Linked DNA regions of Pelodiscus sinensis. The protein of the gene in region 2 purifies or fractionates together with the protein of the main gene of each other region. This does not show direct contact. Links are inferred from orthologs where the notes say so. Each region holds a gene or a part of one and is shown on either strand. Other genes may lie near its edges.

What was found.
Region 1: the proteins of WDR76 (region 2) and NUMA1 purify together in Homo sapiens (affinity purification with mass spectrometry; 3 studies listed by BioGRID and IntAct, with this or other methods). This does not show direct contact. The link is inferred for Pelodiscus sinensis from reciprocal best matches to the Homo sapiens genes WDR76 and NUMA1.

The regions. Positions count from the first base shown.
Region 1 is NC_134711.1:325,287,296-325,298,089, reverse strand, and holds the start of NUMA1 (nuclear mitotic apparatus protein 1), read right to left. Parts: upstream 4,032-10,794; 5' UTR 3,944-4,031; intron 522-3,943; exon of another isoform or gene 435-521; intron 1-434. UniProt on the Homo sapiens protein: Microtubule (MT)-binding protein that plays a role in the formation and maintenance of the spindle poles and the alignement and the segregation of chromosomes during mitotic cell division.
Region 2 is NC_134724.1:295,031-305,267, reverse strand, and holds the start of WDR76 (WD repeat-containing protein 76), read right to left. Parts: upstream 4,652-10,237; 5' UTR 4,543-4,651; coding exon 4,495-4,542; intron 3,869-4,494; coding exon 3,455-3,868; intron 1,124-3,454; coding exon 1,031-1,123; intron 1-1,030. UniProt on the Homo sapiens protein: Specifically binds 5-hydroxymethylcytosine (5hmC), suggesting that it acts as a specific reader of 5hmC.

The sequences.
Region 1 (10,794 bases), on a different chromosome or scaffold from region 2:
CTCTGTTCTGCTGTCTGTACGATGGGGATGAAACACTGCCCTACTCACAGAGGTTTTTTTTTTTTTGTTATTGAAATTGTGAGGGGTTCAGAGCCAGTTAAGAACCTGAGCGTGCTAGATCTCCACCCACCACTGAAGCACCTTATCCCCATTTTACAATTGGGGAAACTGAGTCACGGGGGTATGCCTACCTTGCAGCTTGGGTGTGTGGGTCTCAGCTCAGGCACACAGACTCGTGCTGGCACAGCCCTAGCTAGCATGCTAAAAACAGCAGTGTAGATGTTGTGGGGTTGGGCAGGCCTGGACTCGGGTGGCAATTACATATCTGAAGTGTTGGAAAATGAATTCATGTTTCTTGACTAGCTCACACAATCCTATGACAGATCTTAAGCTGCTTGGAAGACACCCAACTACAGCAAGGATCTTGCACATACCTGCCCAATAATCCAGCCTGCATGGAAGGAGACTCACACCGGTTTACATAACCCCAGTCAATCAGCTCCAACACATGTATATGCTGAAGCAGACACTTGAAAACAGAGGGTAGGGAGAGGAGACAAGATTTTAGGACTTGATATGAAACAGTAGAGTCTCTCTGGCGGGCACAAGTAAAGGCGGGGTATTAATATTATATGGACACCTCTCAAAAACTCCTTGCCAGAATGCCTCAGCTCCTTTAAATATGCACACTTTTCCCACAACATAAAAGGAGAGCAAGCCCACCTCCTCCAACAGGAGACACTAACATGCACCAACAAGGAGCAGAAATGTCTTCTGCGGATTCCAGATCTGTAGTGTATCTCTTGGATCAGAGGCACAACAGGCACAAGTCAAGAGAGGAAGTGAGCTTGGAAAGGATCTAACAGGAGGCTGGCAAAACAGAGAGTGCTACCAGAGAGGTCACCCTAAAATATCTGTCTTTTGAAGTTAGGCTATGCTGCCCCACAGAGCACCCCGCTCCCCCAAACTGGGCTCAAGTCCACAGATCTTGGCAGGAGCTACCAACAAATGTAGTGTGTGGGAGAGGGGGAGAATCACTCAAAATAATGCTTGAGGTGTTTCCTGACAGAGGTACAGGCAAGTAGTTTGCCAAGTAATTAAAATCATGCTAGGAAGAGAGACAACAGTCCCCTTCTCAGGGACTGTTTGGCATCTCAGACATGCTCACAATCTGGAGAAAGGGTGAGGGGCCAAAAGTACAGGAGTGTCAGGTGCACGACAGGTGCACCTTCCGTGGTGGAGTGGCTCAAAGCAAGGACAGCTTACTGGACAGATTAAATTGGAGCCATTCAAGAAAACAGAGGAGCCTCTCAGACCATGAAGTTGCACAGGAGAAGTGTGGATAACATCTGTCCATTCCTGTGCATGGAGCTACTCCAGCAAACTCATGCTCAACAACACTCACACCCTCCTCGCAGTCCACACTTGCAGAATGACACAGACCAAGCCAACCCGCAGCCTCTGCCACGTCTCTGCCAAGCGCACTCCACAAGCTTTATCCGGCTAGGCACAGACCACAGAACGGGGTATTTTCAGCCAGCTTTTGCAGATGTTGGGGGGGAAATCCCCTGAAAACGCAGTTGGCTGCCAGGCAGGCGGGTAGGAGTAAAACTGATTGCCCCTTGCTGGCAGGGCATAGCTGCCTGGCAGGGAAATGACAGCAGGAAGTTTCCCTGCCAGCCATGGGTGGAAGGGCAGGCACTTGTCCAAGGTTGACACCAGGGACTGCAGTGTCTTGGGGGCGCCTGCAGGTCAGGACGGGAGCAGTTCAGCTCCTCAAGCACGGTCCTGAGAGGAGCACAGAAGAGACAGGCTGCAGGGACCCAGCTGTCTGGGGACAGGTAACCCCCGAAGGCCACGCACCCCTTTAGCCCCCTCTCAACACCATCCTCTTAGCCACCCCAAACCACCCCCCCAACTCCCTCATCCCACAGTTCCCCCGTCATCACCCCGCCCCACAAATCACCGCCCCGCAACTCCCTCATCCCACAGTTCCCCCATCATCACCCCGCCCCCCAAATCACCGCCCCCCAACTCCCCCATCCCGCAGTTCCCCCGTCATACCCCGCCCCCCAAATCACCGCCCCCCAACTCCCCCATCCCGCAGTTCCCCCGTCATACCCCGCCCCCCAAATCACCGCCCCCCAACTCCCCCATCCCGCAGTTCCGTCATCACCCCGCCCCCAAATCACCACCCCCCAACTCCGCCATCCCGCAGTTCCCCCATCACCCTGCCCCCAACTCCCCATCCCGCAGTTCCCCCATCATCACCCCGCCCCCCAAATCACCGCCCCCCAACTCCGCCATCCCGCAGTTCCCCCATCACCCTGCCCCCAACTCCCCATCCCGCAGTTCCCCCATCATCACCCTGCCCCCCAAATCACCACCCCCCCAACTCCTCCATCCCGCACTTCCCCCCCATCACCCCGCCCCCCAAATCACCACCCCCCAACTCCCCCATTCCACACTTCCCCCCCATCACCCCACCTCCCAAATCACCGCCCCCCCAACTCCCCCATCCCGCAGTTCCCCCATCACCCTGCCCCCAACTCCCCATCCCGCAGTTCCCCCATCATCACCCTGCCCCCCAAATCACCACCCCCCCAACTCCTCCATCCCGCACTTCCCCCCCATCACCCCGCCCCCCAAATCACCCCCCCCCCAACTCCACCATTCCACACTTCCCCCCCATCACCCCACCTCCCAAATCACCGCCCCCCCAACTCCTCCATCCCGCACTTCCCCCCCATCACCCCGCCCCCCAAATCACCACCCCCCCAACTCCACCATTCCACACTTCCCCCCCATCACCCCACCTCCCAAATCACCGCCCCCCCAACTCCCCCATCCCGCAGTTCCCCCGTCATCACCCCGCCCCCCAAATCACCACCCCTCCAAGTCCCCCATCCCGCACTTCCCCCCCATCACCCCGCCCCCCAAATCACCGCCCCGCAACTCCCTCATCCCACAGTTCCCCCTCATCACCCCGCCCCCAAATCACCGCCCCCCAACTCCCCCATCCCACACTTCCCCCCATCACCCCGCCCCCCAAATCACCACCCCCCAACTCCCCCATCCCACACTTCCCCCCATCACTCCGCCCCCCAAATCACCGCCCCCCCAACTGCCCCATCCCGCAGTTCCCCCGTCATCACCCCGCCCCCCAAATCACCACCCCTCCAAGTCCCCCATTCCACACTTCCCCCCCATCACCCCACCTCCCAAATCACCGCCCCCCCAACTCCCCCATCCCGCAGTTCCCCCGTCATCACCCCGCCCCCCAAATCACCACCCCTCCAAGTCCCCCATCCCGCACTTCCCCCCATCACCCCGCCCCCCAAATCACCGCCCCCCAACTCCCCCATCCCACACTTCCCCCCATCACCCCGCCCCCCAAATCATCGCCCCCCCAACTCCCCCATCCCGCAGTTCCCCCGTCATCACCCCGCCCCCCAAATCACCGCCCCCCCAACTCCCCCATCCCGCAGTTCCCCCGTCATCACCCCGCCCCCCAAATCACCACCCCTCCAAGTCCCCCATCCCGCACTTCCCCCCCATCACCCCGCCCCCCAAATCACCACCCCCCCAACTCCCCCATCCCGCAGTTCCCCCATCATCACCCTGCCCCCCAAATCACCGCCCCCCCAACTCCCCCATCCCGCAGTTCCCCCATCATCACCCCGCCCCCCAAATCACCGCCCCCCCAACTCCCCCATCCCGCAGTTCCCCCGTCATCACCCCGCCCCCCAAATCACCACCCCTCCAAGTCCCCCATCCCGCACTTCCCCCCCATCACCCCGCCCCCCAAATCACTGCCCCCCAACTCCCCCATCCCGCAGTTCCCCCCCTCACCCCGCCCCCGCTCCCCCATCCCGAGCTCCTCCTCCCCCAGTGGGGCGAGCGCCCCCGCGGCGCGGCCCCGGCCCCCGTTACCGTATTTTACCGTATTGCCCGAAGCGGCGCGGCCCAGTCCCGCAGCTTCCCCCCGCGCGGCCCCGCGGCCCTCACCGATTCAAACAGCTGCGCCGCCCCCCATTCCCTCCTCCCTATTGGCTGCAGGCCGGGCGCGCGTCAGCCCGCGCCGATCACGTGAGGGGAGGAACTACAACTCCCAGGAGCCCATGGGCGGTGAGGCCCGAGTGGATCCCGCGAGAGGTGAGGGAACTCTCGCCACCAGGCCCCCTGGGAAATGTGGTTCCCAAAGACCTCCCGGCAACTACGTTTCCCAGCGCGCCTTGCGGAGTGTGGGCGGGGTGGAATTTTTGCTGTGATGCTGGTTACCATAGCGACCCCGCGAGTTCCAGATAGGGGGGCAGAGAGGAGCAGAGATGGTGAGTGTGAAAATGTTTGCACTGAGTGTGAAAAGAGGGGCCAGGGGCTGGTGGATGTGCAAATCTGTGCAGGGCTCTGGTGGGTGTGAAAGGAGAAGTCTGGAACCAGTGGGTGTGTAAATCTGTGCAGGGCTCTGGTGGGTGTGAAAGGAGAAGTCTGGAACCAGTGGGTGTGCAAATCTGTGCAGGGCTCTGGTGGGTGTGAAAGGAGAAGTCTGGAACCAGTGGGTGTGCAAATCTGTGCAGGGCTCTGGTGAGTGTGAAAGGAGAAGTCTGGAACCAGTGGGTGTGCAAATCTGTGCAGGGCTCTGGTGGGTGTGAAAGGAGAAGTCTGGAACCAGTGGGTGTGCAAATCTGTGCAGAGCTCTGGTGGGTGTGAAAGGAGAAGTCTGGAACCAGTGGGTGTGCAAATCTGTGCAGGGCTCTGGTGAGTGTGAAAGGAGAAGTCTGGAACCAGTGGGTGTGCAAATCTGTGCAGGGCTCTGGTGAGTGTGAAAGGAGAAGTCTGGAACCAGTGGGTGTGCAAATCTGTGCAGGGCTCTGGTGGGGGTGAAAGGAGAAGTCTGGAACCAGTGGGTGTGCAAATCTGTGCAGGGCTCTGGTGGGGGTGAAAGGAGAAGTCTGGAACCAGTGGGTGTGCAAATCTGTGCAGGGCTCTGGTGAGTGTGAAAGGAGAAGTCTGGAACCAGTGGGTGTGCAAATCTGTGCAGGGCTCTGGTGAGTGTGAAAGGAGAAGTCTGGAACCAGTAGGTGTGTAAATCTGTGCAGGGCTCTAGTGAGTGTGAAAAGAGAAGTCTGGAACCAGTGGGTGTGCAAATCTGTGCAGGGCTCTGGTGGGTGTGAAAGGAGAAGTCTGGAACCAGTGGGTGTGCAAATCTGTGCAGGGCTCTGGTGGGTGTGAAAGGAGAAGTCTGGAACCAGTGGGTGTGCAAATCTGTGCAGGGCTCTGGTGAGTGTGAAAGGAGATGCCTGGAACCAGTGGGTGTGCAAATCTGTGCAGGGCTCTGGTGGGTGTGAAAGGAGAAGTCTGGAACCAGTAGGTGTGTAAATCTGTACAGGGCTCTGGTGCGGGTGAAAGGAGATGCCTGGAACCAGTGGGTGTGCAAATCTGTGCAGGGCTCTAGTGGGTGTGAAAGGAGAAGTCTGGAACCAGTGGGTATGCAAATCTGTGCAGAGCTCTGGTGGGTGTGAAATGAGATGCCTGGAACCAGTGGGTGTGCAAATCTGTGCAGGGTTCTGGTGGGTGTGAAAAGAGAAGTCTGGAGACAGGGATGGATTAACTCTTTTGGGGCCCAGGGCTATTAGATTTTGTGGGTCTCCCTAGGTTCTAGGTGGGGCCAAAAATGAAGGGTTCATAGTGCAAGAGGGGGCTCCAAGTGGGGGCAGAGGGTTGGGGCACAGGAGGGGGTGAGGGCTCTGTGGTAGAGCTGGGGATAAGGGATTTGGGATGCAGAAGGAGGCTCCAGGCTGGGGCCAAGGGGTTTTGGAGTGCAGGAACAGACTCAGCTCAAGAGGTGGGGATGGGAATGCAGGGTCTGGGCGAGAGTTAGGTGTGGAAGGTGGAGGTGGGGGTGGACAGGAATTTGTGCCGGGGCAGGAGGTGAGGTTCAGGGTCTGGGTGGAGTTAGGGTGCAGGAGGGGGATTAAGATAGGAGGTGGGGTGTGGGGTCTGGGATGGGAATTAGGGTGCAGGAGGAGCTCAGAGCTGGGGTGGGAGTTGGGATGCAGGAGAGGGGCTCCGGGGATAGGGATGTGGGGTCTGGGTGGGAGTTAGGATGCAGTAGAGGGCTCAGGGCCAGGCCAGGTAGGGAGTTGGGATGCAAGGTACTTCCCTGCGGCAGCTCCCCTCTAGTGGAGCAGGCCCTGGGGAGGGGAGGGAGCAGGTGGCTCTATGCGCTGCCCTGTGCTTGCCAGCAACCCCCCCTCCTCCTCCCCGCAGCTCCCATTGGTTGTGGATTTCTGCTAATAGAAGCTATGGGGGCAGAGCCTTCAGGTGAGGCAAGCATACAGATGGCACTTCCTGGTGCTTGCTGCTTCTGCCTAGCGGGGGCAGCAGCACATAGGCTGTGTCCAGACTCCATGCCTCCGTCGACGGAGGCATGTAGATTAGCCAGCTCGGAAGAGGGAAATGAAGCCGCGATTAAAATAATCGCGGCTTCATTTAAATTTAAATGGCTGCCCCGATCTGCCGATCAGCTGTTTGTCGGCAGATCGGGAGAGTCTGGACGCGATGCCCCGACAAAGAAGCCTTTCTTCATCGACACAGGTAAGCCTCGTGAAACCAGGTTTACCTGTGTCGATGAAGAAAGGCTTCTTTGTCGGGGCATCGCGTCCAGACTCTCCCGATCTGCCGACAAACAGCTGATCGGCAGATCGGGGCAGCCATTTAAATTTAAATGAAGCCGCGATTATTTTAATCGCGGCTTCATTTCCCTCTTCCGAGCTGGCTAATCTACATGCCTCCGTCGACGGAGGCATGGAGTCGGGACACAGCCATAGAGCCACTGGGGGCCAGAACACTGCAGCCCCTACTGACTGTGAAAATCTTTGCAAGTGTGTGTGTGAGAGAAGGGGACCAGGACTAGTAGGCATGAAAATCTGTGCAAGGCTCTGGTGAATGTGAACAAAGATGTCTGGAGCTAGTGGGCGTCAAAATCTTCAGGACACTAGTGAGTTTGAAAAGTGGGCTCTGAGGCTAGTGGGTGTGAAAATCTGTGCAGGACACTGGAGTGTGTGTGTGAAAATCCAGGTAATTGCTTGATGAGTGTGAAAGGCGATGCCAGAACAAAGTGTGTGTGAAAAGCCAGGTTCTGAGCATACTAATTATTCAAGGGCATGCCATGTGAAATCACAGTGCTGTAAATATAAATCTATGATGTCACAGAGCGTGCAGCTCTGTGAACTGGGTGTGCAACTCTGTGCAGGCAGCAGCTTGGGTGTGCAGCTGCAGTCAACTTCCCGGTTCCCTGGGCCTCACTTCTGATGGAGAGAGGTAACTAGTGGTGCCCCCAAGGGTCCGTACAGGGACCAATCCTATTTAACCTATTTAAATGGTCTGGTGAAATGGGTAAACAGTGAGGTGGCAAAATTTGCAAAGGTTACTAAACTGCTCAAGATACTTAAGACCAAAGAAGACTGGCAAGAGCTTTAAAAGGATCTCTCAAAACTATGATTGGGCAATAAAATGGCAAATGAATTTTAATGTTGATCGATACCAATGCACATTGGAAAAATAATCCCAACTACACATATAAAGTGATGGGACTAATTTAGCTACAACTACTCAGGAGAGAGATCTTGGAGTCATTGTGGATAGTTCTCTGAAATCATCCACACAGTGTGCAGCAGCCATCAAAAAAGCAAACAGGAAATTGTGCAGACCAGGACTTTCACAGGGTCCAAAAAAGAACTAGATACATTCTGGAGGTTAGGTCCATCAATGGTTATTAGCCAGGACGGGCAGGGAGGGTGTCCCTGGCCTCTGTTTGTCAGAGTCTAGAAATGGGTGACAGGGGAGAGATCTCTTGGTGATTCCCTGTTCTGTTCCCTCCCTCTGGGACATCTGGCATTGGCCACTGTCAGCAGACAGGACACTGGGCTAGATGGACCCTTGGTCTGACCCAGTGTGGTCATTCTTATGTTCTTATGATGAAGCAGCATCCATTTCTGGCATGACTGAACGGAAAGCATGGCAGCTCTTCCCATAACTAGGCAAGACAGGTTCTTATATGGACCTCCTCAGTCCTCACCCTGGTATCAGAGTACCTTAAAGTGCTGGTAGCCTACAAATCTCCCAGGCAATGGACAGTATGGTGGAGCCCTGTGCAGATACAAAACTGGTATCTGGTCTGCAAAAATTGGTCCTGCCATGAGAGCAGGAGACTGGACTCGATGACCTCTCGTGGTCCCTTCCAGTCCTAGTGTGATTCTGTGATTCTATGAAAAATGATGCACGGATAGCTGCATTCACATCTGCGGATGTGGATACCCGTGGATAGAGAGCAGATATCCACGGATTTAGAAGGCTCTAGGAATTGGTGTCCATATCCCAATTGCCAGACCACACTCTGTCCTCACTCAGATCTGGTCAGCCCCACGCTCTGTGGTGATCCTTTGTGTGGTAATTGTTGTTTTCCCAGCCTTGAGAAGAGTGTGAGCACCCCTGAAACCGAGAGAGACCTGTATTAAAGGGCTCTGGCTCCAACATGGGAGACCAGCTCTCCATGTCTTTCAGAAGGATCCTCGCTGCACAAAGGACATCACCAGTCCTGTGGTGCTATTTGCAGAGTAGACATTTTCGAAAGTGTCCCCTGTAATGCCATCCACTCTTCTGCTGCATGCCAGGTGGCTGCTGTTCTGCTCCAGGCGTGGCTGATTTCAGTGGCACAGTGACTTATAGAATCATAAAATACTAGAACTGGAAGGGACCTCGCAAGGTCATTAAGTCTAGTCCCCTGCCCTCATGTGAGGACCAAGCACTGTCTAGATCATCCCTGACAGGAGGCTGTTGAACCTGCTCTTAAATGTCTCCAATGATGAAGATTCCACAACCTCCCTGGGCAATTCATTCCAGTGTTTAGCCACCCTGACAGGTAGGAAGTTTTTCCTAAGGTCCAACCTAAACGTCCCTGGCTGCAATTTAAGCCCATCGCTTCTTGTCCTATCCTCAGAGGCCAAGGAGAACATTTTTCTCCCTCCTCTTTGTAACAAATGTTTAGATACTTGAAAACCGCTGCCATGTCCCCTCTCAGTCTTTTCTTTTCCAAACTAAACAAGCCCAATTCTTTCAGTCTTCCCCCATAGCTCCTGTTTTCGAGACCTTTAATCATTTTGATCACAGTGATCTCTGGGGCATTGTTAGATGCTTTGCGCAGGGGAGCTGGAACCCTACAATCCCTACGTGGTGCTCCCCAGTGATACGCTTGGGAAGCTGAGTGAACGTTTTAAGCAGCTTTGAGCCCTTTGCACAGAAAATGCGTGAGACGTGCCCAGGGCTGGTGGTCCTCAAGCGCTTGTGAACTGAGAAGCACAGTTTGAAAACCAGCTCTCAGAAGAGTAAACAACCTGTGGGGAATCAGCACGCTGCGGCAAAGGCGTTTCCTCGGGCATGAAGAGGCTGAGGGCTGCAAGGGCAAAGCTGTGGAGAATAGCAATCCTCCGGGCTAGCCAGAACCTCACAACCATGCTGGGAAGCGAGCCACAACAGCATGGCTGCCCTTCCATGGATTCATTGGCCCTTCTGCATAGCACAGGCCAGAGGATTTCACCCTGCCTGTGCTGGGGGTGTTAATTTGGGTTTGGCAAACGCACTTTCCGGAAAGGCCTGGCTCGAAGAGACGGAGAATCCACCTTTTCCCTGGCGAGTTTGTTCCAATGCCTGGTTGCCCTCGCCAGTGAACCCTCGCGTTGGATGCCATTTTTCTCATTTCAGTGTGTCCGGCTTGAATGTCTCTCACACCCAGGCCTTTTTCCCAGCCCACGGATCATTCAAGTTTTAAACACGCTTTTACAAATGGGGCACCCGCACTGGAGGCAGTGTCGGCTGTTAGGGGATCAGTATCTAGTCTTGCCACTGGCAGAGGGGAATTCGCCTCCACCCCGACTCACCGCTCCTCTCTTTATGCAGCCACAGGCCACGTTAGCCCTGTCGGGGGGGAAAGTAACTTACATTTCTTACAGGTACTGTCAAATTGCAACGCCTTCCCCTTGGGGGTGGGTGGAGTGCAGGGCGCTCAGGGCAGGGGGGTTGGGATGTGGGGTAGGAATGTAAACGGGTTAACTGGTTACCTTAGTGGCTAATGCTTACCAGATAACGGTTAACCCCAGGAGCAGGCCCCGATCTGCGGTGCTGCTGGCAGAGCCCCCCACAAACACACCCTAACCTGGAGTGCTCCCCCTTTAATTGGTTAACTGGTTAAACTGGTTAACCAGTTAAATAGGATTTTACATCCCTAATGTGGGGGATGCAGGAGTCAGAGCCAGGAGTTGGGTTATAGAGGGTGCAGGAGTCAGAGCTGGGGGCTGGGTTATAGAGGGTGCAGGAGTCAGAGCCGGGGGCTGGGTTATGGAAGGTGCAGGAGTCAGAGCTGGGGGCTGGGTTATAGAGGGTGCAGGAGTCAGAGCAGAGGGTTGAGAGGAGTGGAGGGCTCAGGGTGGGGGTATAGGAATTAAGGCAGAGGTGGGAGGGCTCAGGGCAGGGGCAGGGCTCCCCTCTCCATCTGCTACGGCAGCTGGGAGCTGCAGGGTGACCATATTTCTCAAAGAGAAGACAGGACACCCCATCTACTCGCCCAAGCGCCCCTCCTCCCTGAGTCTGTTGCCTGCCTCTGGAACACTGAGGAGGGCGGCCTAAGGAGGCTGGCGGGGGGAAGGGGGGGTCACAGGAATGCCAGGGCCCTGCTGGTTGCCCTCGGCCCCAGGGCAAAAGCCAAAACCTTAGCCGTGCTTAAGGGGGGAGCGCCAG
Region 2 (10,237 bases):
GGAGGTTTAGATTAGACATTAGGAAAAACCTCCTGTCAGGATGGTTAAACAATGGAGTAAGCTGCCTAGGGACACTACAGAATCTCCATCGCTGGAGATTTTTAAGAGCAGGTTAGAGAAACGCCTTTCAGAAATAGTCTCGATAACATGAGATGTGTCTGTCTCTTCACAGAATCCATAGGACTAGAAGAGATCTAGCCAACTGTTTATAAAATATACTCATCAGTTGCACATCTAGTGTAAGACTCAAAAGAAGATTGGTAGATATAAGCGCTATACTATCAGCAGTTTTACTCACAAAAATTATCATCAGTAGAGGACTTGAATTAACATACAAATGCAAAGATAAAGAACAATTTGGAAGAGAGCTGAATGCTTGTTCACTGTTTCGTTTCCTTAGACATACAGAACTCTAGAGCAGTTTGTGTGCACAGGTAGGTGTCCAATGTGCCAGATGAAATTGGGGAGGTTAAACACGTCTCATGCTAGCTCCTCAGAAACAACTAGAGGGATTTTCTCTAATCACTCTGTGCTTCTGCACCTGGGACTCAGAGCCAGCTCTGAGTGAGCAAAAGAGTGGACTTCCAAGGAAGAAAGTTACTTCTTAATGCCAAAGAGTGGACCTATGAGAAATAACAGAACAGTACACAGGAAAAGGAATATGGAAAGGAGAAAAAGAGTATCTGTGTCTGTCGATAACATTAAAAATGTCACAATCTTAACTTGTTTGGATTACTTCTTCCAATGCATAGACTGCACTTGAGTACTTTATAAATATTAATGAATGAAATCCCATTCAAATTAAAGTCCTATCAAAGAGTCTGTGTAAAGCATAATCTGATCACTGATATATCATTGCAAGTCAGCTGTGTTATGAAATTTTTATGCGTTTTTTTTAAGTGTCTGGTGTAGGACACTGTTAGAGACATATTTAATAACTAAATGAACTATGGGTGAGTTTTGGTATGGTAATTTCTATTACATTTAGAATGATTATTTTGGTCTTATTCTAGGCAGACATAATACAAACCTCAAGCAGCTTTAGAGAAGCAAAGAAATTAGCATTTTCCATAATGTTCTTCAGTCTTTTTCTTTCATAGGCTGACAGCTGTGAAGATCCATCCTGCACCAAACAAACAACAGTAATAAAGACAGTACACAAACATTTAAGACAGTACACAGAGTGCATTAAGAGGCCTGAAGTGTTGAGACAATACTTCTCTGTATAAAGTTACATGGCCTCTTTTTCTTTAAATAAAGAGACAAGATTTTAGGTTCCAAGCATCTCTTATAATAAATTTTACTTTAAGGAGTACTTGATATTTCTCCATTTCCAAACAAGTGTAAAAATATGAATTGGGAGGAATAAGAACAAAACATCACACTCACTAGACAGTACAGGTTGAATCTCCTAAATCTGGGGCTCCCTGGTCCAGCAGGATCACAGATGTTGCTGGATCAGACAACTCTAGTACCCAGACCCCGGTGGGGGCAGCCACAGAGCCCTATCCCCGGGAAGCCCCAGCCAGGCAGGACAAATAGGGCCATGGCAGCTGGGGAGCTCCATCACCGGAAAGCCCCAAACAGGGCCAGAGCCGAGCCCAACCCCTGTCCCAGCAGGGCTGGAGCAGAGCCAACCAGAGGAAGGGGCAGTGTCCTGTGAGGCCGGTGGCAGGGGAGCTCCCCTGATCCAGCAAATTCCCTCATTCAGAATAGGTCAGGTCCCAAAGGTGCTGGACCAAGGAGGTCCAACCCGTAGTACTTTAACAGAGTTCAATTAGCGTGGTCAGTCACTAGCAATTTGCATTTTGCCCTTAATACAAAAAGAAGCTGTAGAGTCCTCATTTTACTGTACTGCAGAAGCATTCTCTCTGCCCCCCATAAAGATATACAGTCACAGGAAAGAATAAAACAACACTAGCCCCAAAGACTGATATTTAAGGAATTACATTTCTTAAAAGCACACCTGCTGAACTTTGAAGAGCTAAAGAAAAATGTGAGGGAGCTAGTCAGTACACTAACTTCAGAAAACCTTTATTAATTTCATGTAGCAACAGAAGCCAAGATGATTTTGTATCAGAATAGGAGTGTTTTATACATACAGCTCAGACACACACTTAGGGAGTTTTAAAGATTGTATCAAAGTTCTTTATGGATGTTAAAATTATTCAATAATCAAATTAATATTACACTGATAAACAAGAAACGAAAACATACAACACGAGGCAATTATATACACTGAAGAGTGTACAAAAATACCAGTGTTAGACTGTCTTATAATAGCTGTCTTCACTATTGTGAAGAGAAAAATTAATTGACTCCTTTTCAGAACTAAAGGTAACTAACTTTTTCATAAGAGTGGAATTATTCAGATATACTCATAAGCCAAATACTGGCTGTAAATGGAATAAGCTGTGTGCTATTTCTTGTCACCTTACAAAATAAGGGAAACATGGTACATTCTGAAAACCATTATTTGGATTTCCAATGCACTTAGGAGCCCTCGTCATGGACTAGGAACCCATTGTGCTCAGCCCTCTACAACTACAGAACAAAAGGCAGAATTAGCTGGAAAGAGCTTGCAATCTAAGGGTAGGACTACTCTTGAGGAGAAAAATCGATGCAAAATATGGAACTCCAGCTATATAAATTGCATCGATTTCCTGGCACCACACAGAGGGAGGTCAACAGGAGAAACACTCCCCTTAACTTCCCTTACTCCTCAAGTAAGGAGTACAGTGGTTGACGTGATTGACTTCAGCGTTTAATTTTGCAAGTCTTTACTAGACTCTTTAAATCAGGGGTGGGGAACTTCAGGCCCATTCTTCTCATATGTTACCAAGTATTTTAACATTAATTATGCTAAGTAAACAGTAATATTTACCTACAACCAATAAAAACAAAACTATATATATTGGTAAGCCAAAAATCTAATCCAGAGGGCAATGTAAAAATGAATAATTCGTCTTGAATAACTATGAAAAAACATGATCTTATTTTTCTATCTTAAAAAAATGAAGTAAATCACTGCATTTCCTTAAAAACAGCAGAATTTTATTCTCTGATGTTTTCTAGGGAGCAAACAGTTCCTTATAGATAAGGTCATCAATTCTTGAAGTTTCAAAATGTGAAAATTTCAAAATGTGAAAAATGCCAAATAGGATAAATGGAGGGCTAGGCTAAGAATATATTGAAAAAGTTAAGAGGACAGTGGGGCCAAAAGACTCTCTGGTCCCCTCTACACCCCTGGAATGGGTGGAGCCTCAGGCAGAAGAGGCAGGGCTGGGACTAGCTTCCCTCAGACAGCCTCAGTGTCTCTCCCAGCATGCCATGCCTACCCCAAGCCTTTTTGATTTGCCAGGCACCAGGGAAGTTGCCCCTTTTGCTTCTCATCTCCCTTGGCAGGTGTGAAAAAGTACATAGTCACTAAAATAGTCAGTGTTTGACTTCTTACCAGATAAGAGGTATCCAAATTGCTTCCTTCATGGTCTGTGTCCCCATTGGTTTCTGAATCACGATCAACCATAACTGAGGTGTTTGTGGATGACACCATGCTACTCTGATTAGGAAGTGAAGACGTATCGGGGATTACTTCTTGTGGACTGGAAGAAGCCTTGTAGGATTCATCTCTTATTTGCAGACTTGTGAGATCATCACAGGATTTTTTGACTTTTGGTTCTCTTTCTGACGAGCCCTCATTACTAGAAAACTTTTCCAGTAAGCGTTTCTGGGGCAGACGTTTGTTGCATTTCTCTCCTTCCGTGAATAAGGGGGTGAGAAGAACTTTCACTTGTTTTCCAAAAACTGCTCTTTTTTCAGCTTTGTCTGATACATAGCTCATGCTGGGGTTTTCTTTCGGTGTACGCTCCTACACAAATGAAGTGGAAAAAAAAATACAAAGGAACACTCTGCTAGAAGGCCGCTCCTGTAACTGGTCTCCAATCAGCTGACTGCACATAACTAGCCCCGGGAACATTTTAACAGCAGCGCCCAGGGCAGGTTTCTAGAAGTGGGGTGACTGTTAGTCTGTAGCTTTGAACCAGGGCTCACAACCTTTGGGGTTTCCGGGCACCTGGGGGGGGCTCCCGGGGACACACGAATGGCTCGGGCTGGCCCCGGTGGCGCCGTGTCGGGGACCGCTCTTTAAACCCAAGGAGCATGCGGGGCGCCAGCTGCTCTGCAGGGGAGACGCGTAGGCAGCCCGGCAGGGGGCAGAGCCCGCGCGGCGCCGGGACCAGGAGCGCGGCTGCTGGGGACGCCAGACGCGGCGCGCGCTCCTTGCCCCCGGGGCGGGGCCCTCACACCTGGCGCGCGCGCGGCCCCCCCACCGCCCGGCGCCGCGCTCGCGAGCCCGCATCCGGCCCGCGCCCGGCGGGCTCTGCCCCCCCCCCTCAGCAGGAGCCCGGACAAGGGGGGGACTTGGCCCGACGGGGTCCGGGGACGGGGCCCAGAATCCCCTCCCCGCCCCCCCGCGCGGCCGGCCCGGGCACCCACCTGCTCCCGCTGCCGGGCCAACGGCTCCTCAGCCCCGGCGCGCGGCATCGCCTCGGCAGCGCGGGAGAGCGGCGGGGCGGGGCCTCGCTTCCCGCTGAGGCAAGGGGGCGGGGCCGCTCCCCTCAGGGGGCGGGGCCGCTCGGATGCCCCGCCCCGCCCCCAGCAGCGGGGCCGCACGTGGCCCGAGGGCTGCTCGCTCGAGCCTGGGCGGGTCCGGGGCGCTCCCAGCCGGGTTAACCGGTCATACTGCAGCGCACAGGAGGGGAGTCTGTTGAGGAAAAAAAAGGGGGAGGCCAAAGTTGAGCAAAAAAAAAAGCCCCCCCCCCCCGAGAATTATTAAGCAAAAAAATAAATTAAAAATAAAGCAGCATGGCCCCTTTAAGACAAGCCTTTGGGGGGCGGCAGGGGCGGGGCTGAGTGTTGTAGGGTTGCCAGGTGTTTGGTAGTTTCGCTTCCTGGCAGGGGAGAGGATCAGAAAACACCGGACATTTTAGGTGTTGGGTATTTTCGGAATTTTTTTTTACCAGACAGGAGGCAAAAATACCGGCCTGTCCGGGTCAATACCGGACACCTGGCAACCCCTAATCTCAACACCCCCTCTGCCCCCCCCCCCGTATCCCAACCCCCCCACCCCAACCCCCTGCATCAGCCCAGGACCACACACACATCCGAACCCCCTGCCTCAGCCTAGAAGCCCTCACCCCAACCCCCTGCCTCAGCACTGAGCCCCTCCCAACTCCGATTCCCTCGCCCCACCTCTCTGCTGGGAGCCCCAGACACCTCGCCCCACCCAAACCCCCTGCCTGAGCCAGGAGCCCCACCCAACTCCGATCCCCGTCTCACTGGCATCCCTACCCCCTGCCTAACCCTCAGAGCCCCCACCCTGAACCCTCAGTCCCATCCCCCAGCTGGGAGCCCCTTCCTGCAGCCCCAAACCTCTCATCCCCATGTGCCCCGAGCCAGAGCCCTTACAGTCCCCATCCTAATTCCCTGCCTCAGGATATTACCCACACCTGGAACACCTCTTTTCTGGCCCCACCCCATACCCTTTGCCAGAGGTCTCACCCCCTCCTACACCCCAACCCTCTGAGCCAGCCTGGTGAAAATGAGGGCAGGATGGAGCACGCACACAACAGGAGGCAAGTGTGTTCATTTGTGTGTCAGTAGCAAGTTGGCAATTCTAGCCAGAGGCCCAGGAATGTCTTAGCATACACTCAATAAAATCAAGCTGGAGTAACATGCTTCTGCAAGCACATAATCCTGTGGTGATTGAGATGGATTAGAAAGTAAGCATTTAATGAGGGAGGAGTAATAGGTAAAAATAATGGGATGAAATGTAATCAGTGGTAATGGCCAATCAGACTAGAATAGCATGGCACCATATGGGTAAAAAGCACATTGCCTGGCTCATTCAAAACCTGCCTCAGTACTGCACTGGAAAATGTAGGAGTTGAGTAGAGATCAGGTGAGGGACTTTACTATCCTCAGCGGGTTAAACAGTGTTGCCAGATGAGGATGGAAAATAGGATGTTTGTCGTCATCTCATTGAGAGTCTTAAATATTAACTCCAGGGAAATATGAATGAGAACTTCTGGCAATGAAGGACAGTAAGTAGTTGTGACGGCACGTTGGGGGTCCCCTGTCTCCTGCACCCCGAAATGGCACAAACAGACTCCACCAGCCGGTGGAATAGAGGAAGTTTATTGCCTCTCCAGGTTACAGCACAGCACAGATGTAATCTGGTCACAGAGCTGGGCTAGGCTGCCTCAGGCCCCCTTGAGATGGGGGAGACTGGGCCCCTAAATTCCAGCCCCTTTCCCTAGGCTGTCTCCTCCATGCTCCCAGCCAGCAACTAACTAACCCTCTTCCAGCCCTGCCCCCCAGCCAGGGCAGCATTCCACCTTCCTCTGTTCCTCTCCATGGGGGGTGTCTGGCCATACTGGTTTGCATAGTGACTCATCCTGTTTTGCTGGGTCGTGGTACCCACAGCAGCCAGTGGGGGTTACCCCAGAGCCAGCAGCATAGAAACCAGCCAGGTACCCCCACTACGTCACAGTTGTCTCTTAGATTTATCAGATTTTGGAAACATGAATCCACATCATTTTGATTTGAGTTCGGAAACTCACAAGTGGGCAAGGGACCCTTTAAGTAGACTCTTCCCTTCCTCTTTGGAAATCTTCGAGAAGGTAATGAATGGGTCCTTGCCAAGGAAATGCCTGGTGTTCTGTACAACTGAAGTGGGGGTTGGTTTTTTTTGCTTGTTTAATGTGCATGTATGACCAGTGGGAACACAGGAAGTATATCTATAGTACCACATATGTTGGTCATCTCATTGAGAATCTTAAATATGGGAATTTCTGTGTTTTTCCATTGCCTAGGAGAGGTGGAGAAGTCCATGTAATAACCTAGGTAGGGTGGAAGTGAAGCCAATGTATGGGAAGAAGCCTATGCTGACAAACTGGAGGGAGTTCAGAAAACAGCTTTGATTAGCAGTATGAAAAACCTGCTTTAATGAAACTAAAGAAAGATCTATTTAGTTTATCAACAGAGAAGATTAAGTGGTGACTTGATTGTGGTCTACAAGCATCTACTCAGAGAGCAGAATTTACCAAATGTTTTTAAAGCTAGAAAACAAAGCAAGGAATTAAGTTAGACAAATTTAAACTAGAAATAAGAGCAGGAGAGTCTGAATAGTCCTTTCTGATCTTAAAAATCTCTGAAGCATTTAAATAACTGCATAGGGGTGAAAGGCAATACCTCCACACTTGATAAATTGCACTACATGGAGACTGTTCAGCTCTCAAGAGGACAGAGGGTTTTCTGAACCTCTGCAGGAAAGGACAGCACAATCCAAGATCCAAAGAATGCCCTTTGTCATACACATAGGCGCTGTATGAGCAGACCACAAAGTTTCACACACATTCTAGACAAGGCCTTCAGATAACCCAAGGGGCTGCTAAACCCAGCAGACATGGGGAAATATCCAATACAATCAAACAGAAGACAGCTAAATCTAACACCTAAAACTAATACTCGTACTGAGACCTAGATTTTGTGTAGAAAACAATTCAAGACCATCTAGCTGACCTAGAGTTAATGAAGGATATCGTCCTTTGTAAGTATGGTCAATGAGGTTTATGGCTCCAGCCATCACAGCTGGTAAATGGTTTTGAGCAACATCACATAGTTGTGTGTGTGAGATCAGAGAGGCAGTGCTCACAGAAAGCACTCTTACAATGATTAATCACTAAACTTCTGTAAAAGTGGTGGGTAACCTGTGGCCTGTGAAACATAGTTTGCTATAGCCCATGTGCAGGGTTGCCAGATTTCGCTGGCTTTTGTCCACATCGCTTTACATGCCTATCACTGTAGTAATACTTGGAGGGAAAAAGCTAAGGCGCAAGAAGTGGGTTTTTCCTCTCACAGACTAACTGACTTCCCCCTGAAGCTTTTACTGTGTCTCTGAGGTGCCATAAGACGTGGTATGTGATCACTTTACAAGCCATCTGGTGCGGGGCAAGAGGAGAGAAGTGGGCTGTGCCCACGAAAGCTCATGGTACCATCTACATGTTCTGTTATTCTCTAAGGTGCTGCTAGACTCTTTGTTGTTTAAGTTTTTCCAGCTATAGACTAACTCAGCTACCCCTCTGAAGCTTTTGCACACAATGTAGATTGTCAGAGCAATGTACTCCCTTTGCACCTAGTCAAAGCACTGCTATGGTTCAGTTGGCACACCCCACAAATTCTAGGTACGCAAGCTCAGTTAACAAAACTGCCCCACCATGGAATACCATTTTGGTTACAGCAATCTTGCAAAATCAAAAAGGAGTCATAAAAAGTGCAAACTAGATCAAATGACAAAGGATGAATATAAGCAACAACACACGTATGCAGGGGCAAGATTAGAAAGGCAAAGGCACAAAATGAGCTAAAACTAGCTAGGGGCATAAAGGGAAACAAGAAGATATTCTATAAATGTATTAGGAGCAAAAGGAAGACCAAGGACAGTATAAGCCCATTGCTCAGTGAGGAAGGAGAAACAACAAGAGGAAACTTTTCACCAAGAAGTTTGATGATGAAGGGATGCCTAACATGGAAAATGCTAGTGGAAATGGGGTAGGTTTAGAAGTTAAAGTTAAAAATTACTTAGAAAAGTTAGATGTCTTCAAGTCACCAGGGCCTAGAATACTCAAGGAGCTGATAGAGGAGGTGTCTGAGCCTTTAGCTATCATCTTTGAAAATTCATGGAAGTCAGGAGAGATTCCAGAAGACTGGAAAAGGGCAAATCTAGTGCCCATCTATAAAAAGGGAAACAACAACCCAGGAAACTACAGACCAGTTAGTTTAACTTCTGTGCCTCGGAAGATAATGGAGCAGGTAATTAAGGAAATCATCTGCAAACATCTGGAAGAAAATAAGGTGACCAGTAACAGCCAGCATGGATTTTTAAAGAATAAATCATGTCAAAGCAATCTCATAGGATATCAAGTCTTGTGGACACAGGAGAAGCAGTGGATGTGGTATACCTAGACTTTAGTAGAGCTTTTGATACAGTCTCGCATGACATTTTTATCAATAAGCTAGAGAAATGCAACCTTGATGGGGCTACTATAAGGTGGGTGTGTAATTGGCTAGATAACCACTTAGAGCAGGCATGTCCGAAGTCCGGCCTGCGGGCCAATTGCGGCCCGTGTTCCGATTTAATACAGCCCCCGCTTCCTCCCCCTCTCCTGGCTCCCCGGCGCTCTTTTGAACTGGCGAGCCCAGCGCGCCGCTTCCGGCCACGCCGCCGCCCATGGCCTCCGCGGTCCTAGAGCCTGCCCTGTAGGGCACGTCCGCAGCCCCGCTCCCCCGCTCGGCTGCAGGTTCGCCCTGCCCCCTGGCCGCCATGAGGCCAGCGTGCCCTGCGCTCTCCGCCCGCCTCCGACCCTGCGGGCCCTCCGCCTTGGGGCTGAGAGTGCGGGGACGGCCCTGACGCATGTTCACTTCTTCAAATCTGGCCCGCTTTGAAAAAAGTTTGGACACCCCTGACTTAGAGAGTAGTTATTAACAGTTCACAATCATGCTGGAAGGGCAGAACAAGTGGGGTTCCTCGGGACTGTTTTGGAACCTGTTATGTTCAATATCTTCATCAACGATTTAGATATTGGCATAGCGAGTGTGCTTATTAAGTTTGCAGATGATACCAAGTTGGGAGGAGTTGCAAGTGCTTTAGAGGATTGGGTCAAAATTCAAAAAGATCTGGACAAACTGGAGAAATGGTCCAAGGTAAATAGGATGAAGTTGAATAAGGACAAATCCACTTAGGAAGGAACAATCTGTTTCACACATACAGAATGAGAAGTGACTGTCCAGAAAGGAGTACTGCAGAAAGATCTAGAGAGTCACCATGGACCACAAGCTAAATAGGAGTCAACAGTATGACAGTTGCAAAAAAAGCAAACATGATTCTGGGCTGCATTAACAGGAGTGTTGTGAGCAAGACACAAGAAGTCATTCTTCTGCTCTACTCTGCGCTGATTAGGCCTCAATTGAGTACTGTGTTCAGTTCTGGGCAACACGTTTCAAGAAAGATGTGGAGAAATTGGAGAAGGTGCAATGAAGAGCAACAAAAATGATTAAAGGTCTAGAAAACATGAACTATAAGGGAAGACTGAAAGAATTGGGCTTGTTTAGATTGGAAAAGAGAAGACTGAAAGGGGACTTGATAGCAGTTTTCTAGTACAGTAAATTCTGTGTTATC